Canis lupus familiaris: one gene and its partners. The protein of the gene in region 2 purifies or fractionates together with the protein of the main gene of each other region. This does not show direct contact. Links are inferred from orthologs where the notes say so. Each region holds a gene or a part of one and is shown on either strand. Other genes may lie near its edges.

Region 1 (2,605 bases), on a different chromosome or scaffold from region 2:
CCTCACGGTCTCCTTCTCTTTGGGAGTTGAGGGCACCCCTTCCGGACTCAGGACCCAGCTCTTTCTGCCACTTGTAACTGCAAGCTTGGGGCAAGTGATACCTGCCAAGCCTCAAATTCTTCATCCACAAGACAGAGCACCCTCTGGGTGGGGATACTGTGAGGAGTGAGGTGTTTGATAAGTACTTATTCCAAGTACCTGCCACCCAGCAAATAATTGGTGGCTCAGGGTGCTCAACCCTGGGAGGGGCATTCAGTATAGTCCCAAGGAGGGATTTCCACCCTGCTCCATGGAGGACTGCGCCCTGGGGACTGAGCCCAGGCCTGGCCCAGAGGGCCAGGCCCAGCTGGGAAGGATGACCCGTCAGGCCAACGGGGTCCTTGGGGACAGATGTCTCTCCTCAGGGCACTTACTCGGTTTTGACAGTGGTTTTGCCATTTGCGTGCTGAGAGGGAGGAGGTTCTCACCATACGTTCTGTCTCCCCTTAAGCAAAGTGAACATCTTCCTCTCAATTATCCAAGAGACATCCTATAATGAATTTCTCAGTACAAAAACCAAGGTGTCCCGAGAGCAGAGTACAAGTTCTTTTAATTATACTCTCGAAAAATGTCACAAGGCAAAACCCTGGAACACAGGGAAGATTCCATCTCCCTCTGCCCTCGGAAGAGCCCTCATCCGTTTTAGCCGTGCGGAAAAGCCTCGCTGGTTATATTTCTAGATGCTTTGTGTTTCCTATTTGGTCAGAGCCTTAAAACGGGCCCACACTACCCTGAAATTTCAAGGCCATAACTGATTCAGTTAAATATAACAGTCCCAGGGTGGGAGTGGTTGACTAGGCGGCTACCCACTTCAATTCAGAGCCCGCTCTTCTGTCCAAAGCCACTGAAACCGAATACCGCCCTTCACATGTCCCAGTGCCCCATGCACTAACCACCTTCTGACAGGTGGCTGTGGGGCAGCACAAATGGAACCCCTGCTAACATGTCCAACCAGTACTCTGCCAACGAGGTCAATCGGCGGGCATCTGTTAAGCCCCTGGCTTTCTCAGCACAGGTTATGTGCCCATTTCTAGATCTAAACAATATGTGACTACTTCTCACCTCGTCTTTAAGAGGCTAAGAGGCTGTCATGTCAGTTTGACAGTCAAGCGAAGAGCACGCAAATAAAAGTCCTGTTGGCAGAAATGAGGGACGTTCTGAATATTAATGAAACCAGAGTGGGGCTGCAGAACTCCAGGCTGTAGGTGGTCGCCCTCCTTCATCCTTCAGAAGGGACTCGGAACTGATGGGTGATCAGAACGGTCACTGCAGCCACCCTTCTCTGAACAGTGCATCATGGTCACCTCTGCAGTGCAGTCAACGTTCGGTCGACTCTTCAGTGAGAAGGCCAGACGGGAGACTAATTTTTTAAACCAGGACAAGAGGAATCTGAAATGAAAAGAGGCAGGGCCCGCTCACCCGGAAGCCTGTGTGGAGACAATGGTTCTCTCCAGCCCGTGGGAAGCACCATGGGGTCTGAAGTGGTCTGGTCGTTCTCGAGCATTACATGGCTGGATGAGCTGACTCCAGGGCACAGGAGACAAAGGGAGCAAGAGCTAAAAGTAACAGGACACGTAGGTGGCAGAGAACCTAAGACAGAAGGTGCCTGCAGGGCTCTGGGTTGACACCCCCAAAGACCCAATTATATTCACTGGCTCAAACATAAAAAGGAAACAAAGTTTTTCAGTGGGGGCGGGAGAGGGAGGAAGTCACCCTGTTGCAGTCCTTCAGAACAATATTCATGCTTTCCTGGTTTTCTTCTAATACTTGAAATCCATGCCCTATGAGTGCAGCTCCAATTTGTCCAGTGAATTCTATGCAAATGTTTCATGACACTGCTGTTAACAGAACATGTACCTGGTACACACGGAGCATACCCAGAGTGGGAGAAGAGGGAGGGCAGGAAGCAAAGAGGAGCCACCTTCTTTCCTCCTGTGCTCTCCCGATCTGCCAGTGGAGCCTGAATACACAGCAGATGGCCCCCTCACCGGAAGCAGGAGCAGAATCCTCTACCCCCTCCCCAGCCTCCAGGAACATTCTTCCTTCCACCAGCAGGCACTCAAGTTATTATGCATCTAGACATATGGATATATACACTACAAGGAGGCCCTGACAAAGCCAAGCCTGCACGCTGGCTCCTCACATAGTCAATGCCAAGTTCAGCTACAGAAGCAGCTACAGCAGCAGCCCCCCACCCCCAGGCCTCTCGGTTACAAAGTTCACAGCTGGAGTCTGAAAGATCTACACTCTGAGGTGGTGTGTGTGTGGGGGGAGGGGGGGCGGACAGTGAGGACGCGTGGTCTCCCTTTTCTTTCTCAGGCATTCCTGGAAGGCGGCCTCATCTACTCCTTGGGGATCTCAAACATGCAGAGGCTCTTGTACTTCTGCAGAAGTTCATTCTTGGTTCTGACTTGCTCCCGGAGGCTCTGCAGCTGTTGCTGCTGCTGCTCAGGACTCAGGTGGATGCCCGGCATGGAGCTGATGACCTTCCGCATCTCCTGGAACTTGGTTTTCAGGGCGTTCAGGTCCTGGTGGATGTCTGGACTGTCCTTGTCCATACTGCAGG
Region 2 (4,081 bases):
TCTACAATCTTTGTGGTCTGTGGGCCAATAGTTTTAGACTTCTGTTTTATATTCTCCCTTGGGTGATTATTAGTTAATTCCCTGGCTTTTAACACCATTTCTACCAGTCATTCTCAACCAAGGGCAATTTTGCCCACCAGGAAACATAGGGCAAGGTCTGGAGATATTTTTACTTGTCACAACTGGGGGATGGGGTGTTACTGGCATCTAACTGGTAGAGGCTAGGGATGCTGCCGAACACTTACAATGCGTATGACAGCCCCCAAAAAGGAATTATCCCAGCCCCAAATGTCAAAATATTGTGCCAAAGTGGAGAAGCCCTGTTCTGTGTTTATGACTCTGTACTTTCTAGCTCTAATCCAAACTGCCTGATCTCCTGGATGGCTCATAAAGCATTCAGGTTGAACCACTTGCATAAAGTCACAGATTAAGTAGTAGAGGAAGGATTCAGAACCATAGTATCTTAAACACTACTCTACATTATCAAGGATAAACAAAAAAACATTGCTTCCATCTTAGTGCCACTTACAACCTAACAAAAAAAACACAAAAATAACTACCAAGTTTTAAGGCTCCTACAGAAGGCCAACAGTTCTACCAAAAATAAGTCTAAAAATTCCACACAGGAAAATTATCATAAGCAAAATTAAAAGACAATCCCATTCTTTTGGGAGAAAAATGCCTGCAAGCTAACAGAGCAAATATTGGAAATTTTATTTTGACTTTTCAAAAATTTATTTTCTGACTCCACTCCCACCGGAAGGAGGGCACTAGGACTTCAGGAACTGCCGAATACACAACTCCATCTCCAGCACCTCAACACCTAAAAGATCCTCAATAAAGGCCCACTGATTGAGTTTTTTTTTTTTTTTTAACCTCCGTTTTTTAAAACAGAATAATAGACAAAAGAGGACAAGGAGGAGGGCTCGGGTGGTTCAGTCGGTTAAGCTTCTGCCTTTGGCTCAAGTCATGGATTCAGGTCCTGATCTCAGGGTCCTGGGATTGAGCCCGCATCCGGCTCCCAGCTTAGCAGGGAATCTGCTTCTCCCTTCTCCCTCTGCCTTTCCCCACGCTGGGCTAGCTCCCTCTCTCTCAAGTAAATAAAATCTTAAAAAAAAAAAAAAAAAGACAAGGGAAATGCAAATGCTGAATAAAAGCAGAAAATTATTCAGACTAATATACTTCTAAAAGCAAAGTTTTAAAAAGAATACTTTTCATCTAACGGACTATCGAGATTTCAAATACTCCATCATTCAACAAATATTAGAACACCTTCCATGCGACAGGCGCTGGATGCCAGCAGAGGTCGCACTCTCCCAGGGCAGCTCTTTCTGTCCAAGGGTCTTGCCCTCTCATGCTTCTATAAAGACCACTTTTTTGCACCACAGACGTCTCAAGAACTCTTTCTTGGCTGTTGGTTTCAAACCCTAACATCTGTCCTACGTCACAAGTGCATAAAAATGTGCACCAAGGGTGTTTAATGCAGCGAGGTTTGAAAAGAGTAGGAAAAGCCGGAAATCATCCATGACTTCATCAATATGAGGAGTGGATAAAATATTTCTCTGTAATATAAGGCGGCCCTCGAGTAAAAGGGGTAAAACTGCTTGCGGGGAGTGGGGGGTGGAGGTGGGGGTGATAAACAGTGTTTATATGTGATTACTACCAAAATCAGAGAATTAGCATTGATCTGGTTACTTCAAAAGCGACTGTAAGAGACAGCCCAGGCTCTGCCTCACTCAAGCATTTTTAGTTGGGCGCCCGGTTCCGCGCCTCCCCACGCCACAAGCCACAAGCACTCCTCTATTCAACGTGCAGGTTCCCAGTCCCACGTGACTGGCACGTTTTAAAGCCTCTCGGCGGACGCCTGGGTGGCTCAGGGCGGGATCCGGGGATCCGAGATCGAGTCCCACGTCTGCAAGGAGCCTGCTTCTCCGTCTGCCTGGGTCTCTCATGAATAAATAAATAAAATCTTTAAAAAAAAAAAAAATTAAAAAAAAAAAAAAAGCCTCTCGGTCTTCCTCACACGCCTGTCAGCTTCCTTCGCGAGAGGAAGACTCCGCGTCTCGGAGGGGCCGCCTGCGCCGCGTCGGGGCTAGCGAGTCCACGGCAACGCTCCTCATCCCGGCTCCTTTCCGCGGCCCAGGGCAGGCTCGCCCACGGAAGCAACCTGACGAGTCGCACCGATTCTGCTCATTCCTCCACCGCTTCTCTGGGGCCAACTCTTCCGAGGCGGTGTCTCCACTGAAACCGGCGCCAAGCGTCACGGCCGGTGACCGGACCCCAGACCCCCCTTCCGTGGGGCTCAGCCGACAGGAAGGCATTCCAGGGTCCCGCCCCGCCCCCGAACACCTCCCCCTCGACGTGGCCACCAGGCTTGGGATCGCGGCCTCCTGCACCCCGCACTACCGCGGCCGACCTCAGGCTCCATCCCCGACGAGCGCGGGCAAGGCCCGGGGGCCGAGGCCCGCCACGTCCGCCCGGCTCAGCACACCCGCGGCGCGGGACTGGAACTCAGGGCTCCCCCACGGAGGAAGCCCCGAGCGCGCCGCGCCGACGGCACCTTCCGCCCGGCTCCCCGCGAGCAGCAGCGAGGCCGCATCTCCGAGGGATGTGGGAGAGGAAGGTGACGGAGCGTGTCCGCGCCAGGCTTCCCCCATTCCCAGCCGGCCCTGGGGGAGCCGCGGGGTCCGGAAGGCGAGACGCACGCGGCACGAAGCCGCAAGCCGTCGCCGCCCACTTACCTCAGCCCAGGCTTGACGCTGGAGCCGCCTTCGCCTCCGCAACCGAAAGCCGACTTCCGGCCACCTCCTCCAGGAAGAAGCCCGTGACACTGCCCCTTGATTGGCTGAGAGAACTGTATGTTAGCCGCCGCTCTAGTCCCGCCTCCAACCAAAACCTTGCTACTGCGCCTGCGCGTATCTCCCCGCGCCCTCGGCGGTCGGGTCGCCGGCGGCCTCGGGCGTGGGGGTGTCTGTGCTAGTACTTTCTATCAGTAAAAGCTGCAACTGGTAGCTTCGCTCCTTTGTTATCTTTTTTTTTTTTTTGACACCTGAGATTAACTTATCCGTTTGCCTTACATGAAAATTAGAAAATGCAGATAAGCCGATTTTTAAAAATTAGATCGACTCTAATCCTACTGTCCAAAATAGCATTACATTTATTTTCAATCTGGAAATATTTATGAACGAGATCGGGAATTCATAGCGTTCTCAGTTTCTATTTCTTCACATTCATATTTATTTTCATTTAGGAATTGAAACATAGCTATGTTTCCAGGTAACAAAAAATGTATCAAAGTTTTTGGGAGGTAATTTTCAGAAGAAGTAACAAACTTATAAATTCGTGGAAATCTGACGAGAGCATACTGGACATAAAAGAAAATTGTTATTCTGATAAAAGTTTTCAACTTTGCCTCTAAAATAAGATTACTTGGTTTCATTTTTTAGAAAAGAACGAGATTCCGAGTATATGCAAAAGTAGAGGGGCGCCTAGGTGGCTGAGTGGGTGAAGCCTCTGCCTTCAGCTCAGGTCGTGATCCCAGGGTCCTGGCATCAAGCCCTACTTGGGCTCCCTGCTCAGCAGGGAATCTGCTTCTCCCCCTCCCCTCACACTGCTCTTGCTCTCTCTCTTCCTCTCTCAAATAGATAAGATCTTTAAAAAAAAAAGTGTACTCATTATCCACCTTCAATCTATATCTACCCATTAGATCTAGACATTATTTCGTTTTAATATACACGTCCAAAATAGGACTCTCATTTTCCCCCATAAGGATACAGGTGTTATATCATTTAAAAATAAGTTAGTAGAGGTGCCTGGGTGGCTCAGTGGTTCCGTGTCTGCCTTTGGTTCAAGTTGTGATCCCAGGGTCCTGGGATCAAGTCCTGCGACAGGCTCCAGATATGGAGCCCGCTTGTCTCTCTGCCTACATCTCCGCCTGTCTCTCTGTCTTTCATGAATAAATAAAATCTTTTTTAAAAAAAATAAAATAAAATAGTAATTATTTAAATTCATCAAAATCAAGGGCACTTAGGTGGCTCAATTGTTTAAGCTTCTGATTCTCAATTTCAGCTCAGTTCTTGAT
Region 3 (3,284 bases), on a different chromosome or scaffold from region 2:
GCAAAGAAACTGACAATACCACTTGATGGGATCCACAGGCAGGCAACAGAGCAGTCTTGGTTGTCAGATCTTAGACTGTATCCTGGGTCTACCCCCAGCTCAACAGGTAAATATGTGAAAGTTCTTCTCTGAGCATCTCTGATATGACAATAACCCTTACTCACAGAGTTCCCATAATGATCAAAGGAAATAATGTAAGTTTCATGCTTAGTAAAAAAGCTGGCATAGTAAACACCCAACAAACTCTTATTATTAGTTATCACCAGCACCACCACCACCACTTAGTAAATGCTTACTGCATACTATGAACACTACTAATAATTTTGATGATAATGATAATAAAAATGATAAAAAGTGGTAACATCTGTTAAGCACTATGGCATGCTAGCCACTGTGCCTTAGCGTACGTCCTCTCATTTAATCCTTGCTACCACCTCACACTTGCCATCATCACTTCTACAAATGAGAAAACTGAGAACATCTGAATTACTTTACTCAAGGTTACCCAAAGTCAGTGGCTAGGCTGGGATCTGAAAGTCTGTGTTTTTTTTTAAAGATGCTATTCATTTACTTGAGAGAGAGCAAGCAAGAGAGAACATGAGCAGAGGGGAGAGGGAGAGGGAGAAGCAGGATCCTTGTTGAGCACAGAACCTGATACGGGCTCAATCCCAGGACCCTGGAATCATGACCTGAGCCAAAGGCAGAAGCTTAACAGACCAAGCCACCCAGATGCCCCTGAAAGCCTTAGATGTAGCTTTCTTAATCATTCTTAATCATTCTTGATATACCTGTTGTTTCAAAACAATGCACAATACTGATTGAGCTCCTACTATAAGTCAGGTGCTAGGACTTATCATGTCTATTCCTATAACAACTACAAGCAAGGCTTGGCTAGTCTCATTTTACAGGTGAAAAGGCCAGGAAATTTTATTTGTCCAAGGTCACACAGTTCATAAATGGCATAATTTATAAGTCTGATCATTCCAGGTCTGTTTAGTTCAAAAGTCGGCCCCCTGTCCGGTACCACAGTCAGTACTCTGCTGTGCCAATAACAACTCACATCACTATATTTTCCCCGGGGACATGAAGGTCAGCATTTTCTTAGGTCACAAACCCATCTACAAATACTGATATGGCCAGTCAATACACAATGAACTGGAAATACCTGATAGTCTGAGGTCATGATGAGTCCACCTGAGGTAGTGGTAGGAGGAACAACTCTCACTTTTTTCAATGGGGGTCCCTGTGTATGACTGCTGTCTTGATTCCCTGGGTGACCGGTTCCATTAGTATGGTTATTGCCCTGCTGCTGCTGCTGGTTCTTCTCAATTGGTTAAACAGAAAAATAAAGTTCAACTCAGAAGGAGAACCAAATACAAACAAGAAAATGTTACACGGTAGATGGAATAAAACAAGCAGCAGCCAAATGTACTTTAATACTTACTTTGTCTCCTTTGTCATCGGGTTCTTCTTCTGTTAAAAATTCTCGTTTTGGGTAAGGGATTTGACAACCGGCAAAAACGCTGCTCACAACAAAAAAAGAAAATTTCTAGTATGCTAATCAGTATCTCAGATGCTTCATTTTAATCTTTTAAGATGGACTTTGTGTCCTTATTTGTAAAATAAGCACCCTTCATGCAACTGTGCCAAAATGAATCTTTTCTTCTAACTAGGGACATTGTAGCAGACCATGGGAAGGATTTTCATTGTGTGAAAATAATCAATAATCATCGAATATGACTCAACTTTCTTTTATCCCAGACTCACTCTTTTATTGTTACAATCCAAATATAGATTCCAGTGGAAATGTCACTATTTGAACACAATTTTTTTTTTTACTCTCCCTTCTACACATAAGAGATGACATGGGGAACACAAATTTATTTGGGAATGGGATTTTGTAATTAAAACACAAAACTGTAACTGTAAGCAGTGGGCCATCTCAGTGAGTCTGAGTGAGCTACAGCATGCATAATTAACCTGTCACTGAATAATTGGGGCACGGCTGAAAATAAAGCTGGTAATGTTTCATAAAGTAAGACATGAACAGGAATGCCTTTTCACTGTAAAAGCCCTAAATGACACCTCAGTCATCAGAGCTCATGTCACTGGGATTTCCCTAGGTCCCCATGTAATGCGAGTGGCAACTTGGAGTTGACAACTCAAACAAGCCCACTCCAGAAAATTCTATCATGCTGGTGAGTTAATAAACTGATCACTTACTCTGATGTAGGAAGTGGATCTTCTAAGAAATAGGGATCCTGCATAGCCTGTTCTGAGGTAATTCGCTTTATTGGGTCCATAGTAAGTAACTTCTGAAGCTGAAATCATAAATCATAAAAACATTGTGTTATTTCTTATAGTTATATCCTTGGCCATATGTGGGATGTACATGTTTTTTGATGAAACACTACAATTTGAGCGGTATTTATTCCCCCAAATTAACAAGAGAAAAACTGGATTATTACATTTAACATAGTAATTCACATTTAGTAATTCTAATAATCATGATCTTACTTGGTTCTAAGAAGTAAACAAAACCTTTACCTTATTCTAAACCAATGATCTACATTATGCAAATTGTTTTGTCCAATTTAGAACAAGACTAAACTCTTATATTTTCTATTCTTTTTCTATAAAGGGAAAAAAACTATTATAACACAAATAATAGAGTAGTCACATGTGACTATTTAGATTTAAAACCAAATTAAACTTAAAAAAATCAATTTCTCAATCATATCAGGTACATTTCTAGAGCTCAAGAGCCACATGTGGCTAGGAGTTATCCTATTGCACAGCACAGATCATCAGAGAAAGCTCTCCTGGCCAGTGTTATCCCTGTCTAAATAAATATGGTGCTTGATACAGAACTTGTGAAGTACAGAGGGGTTATGAATGGAGACTTGAAGACCTTTATTATCTGAGTGACTTTGGACAAGTTGCTTAATCTCTTTGCAACCTCATTTGTCAAATGGAGATTAAAAATAGTGCCAGCTACCATAGGTTTGTTTTCAGAATTAAATGAGTTAATATATGGAAAGCAATTCTAAAGGTACCTGACACAAAGAAAGCACTATGTATTATTATTATTTTGCTACCTATAAAAATGTCACACTAATGTGAAAATTCAGTATTTTTTTGGTTAAAACAGTTTATTTAAGACTTTATGAACAAAAATATTTGAGGTGATTTTTTATTTTATTTATTTATTTCAGAACATTTGATTTTAGTAGGGGATTTAAGAGCTAATCTAAATAGTGGTCTCTTTTGTCCTCTTTGAGCTA

The links.
Region 1: the proteins of MED7 (region 2) and MED9 purify together in Homo sapiens (affinity purification with mass spectrometry; 5 studies listed by BioGRID and IntAct, counting the BioPlex papers as one, with this or other methods). This does not show direct contact. The link is inferred for Canis lupus familiaris from reciprocal best matches to the Homo sapiens genes MED7 and MED9.
Region 3: the proteins of MED7 (region 2) and CDK8 purify together in Homo sapiens (affinity purification with mass spectrometry; 7 studies listed by BioGRID and IntAct, counting the BioPlex papers as one, with this or other methods). This does not show direct contact. The link is inferred for Canis lupus familiaris from reciprocal best matches to the Homo sapiens genes MED7 and CDK8.

The regions. Positions count from the first base shown.
Region 1 is NC_049226.1:42,179,922-42,182,526, forward strand, and holds the end of MED9 (mediator of RNA polymerase II transcription subunit 9), read right to left. Parts: intron 2,599-2,605; coding exon 2,382-2,598; 3' UTR 564-2,381; downstream 1-563.
Region 2 is NC_049225.1:53,884,252-53,888,332, reverse strand, and holds the start of MED7 (mediator of RNA polymerase II transcription subunit 7), read right to left. Parts: upstream 2,809-4,081; 5' UTR 2,742-2,808; intron 1-2,741. UniProt on the Homo sapiens protein: Component of the Mediator complex, a coactivator involved in the regulated transcription of nearly all RNA polymerase II-dependent genes.
Region 3 is NC_049246.1:13,124,148-13,127,431, forward strand, and holds part of CDK8 (cyclin-dependent kinase 8), read right to left. Parts: intron 2,322-3,284; coding exon 2,224-2,321; intron 1,524-2,223; coding exon 1,445-1,523; intron 1,325-1,444; coding exon 1,166-1,324; intron 1-1,165.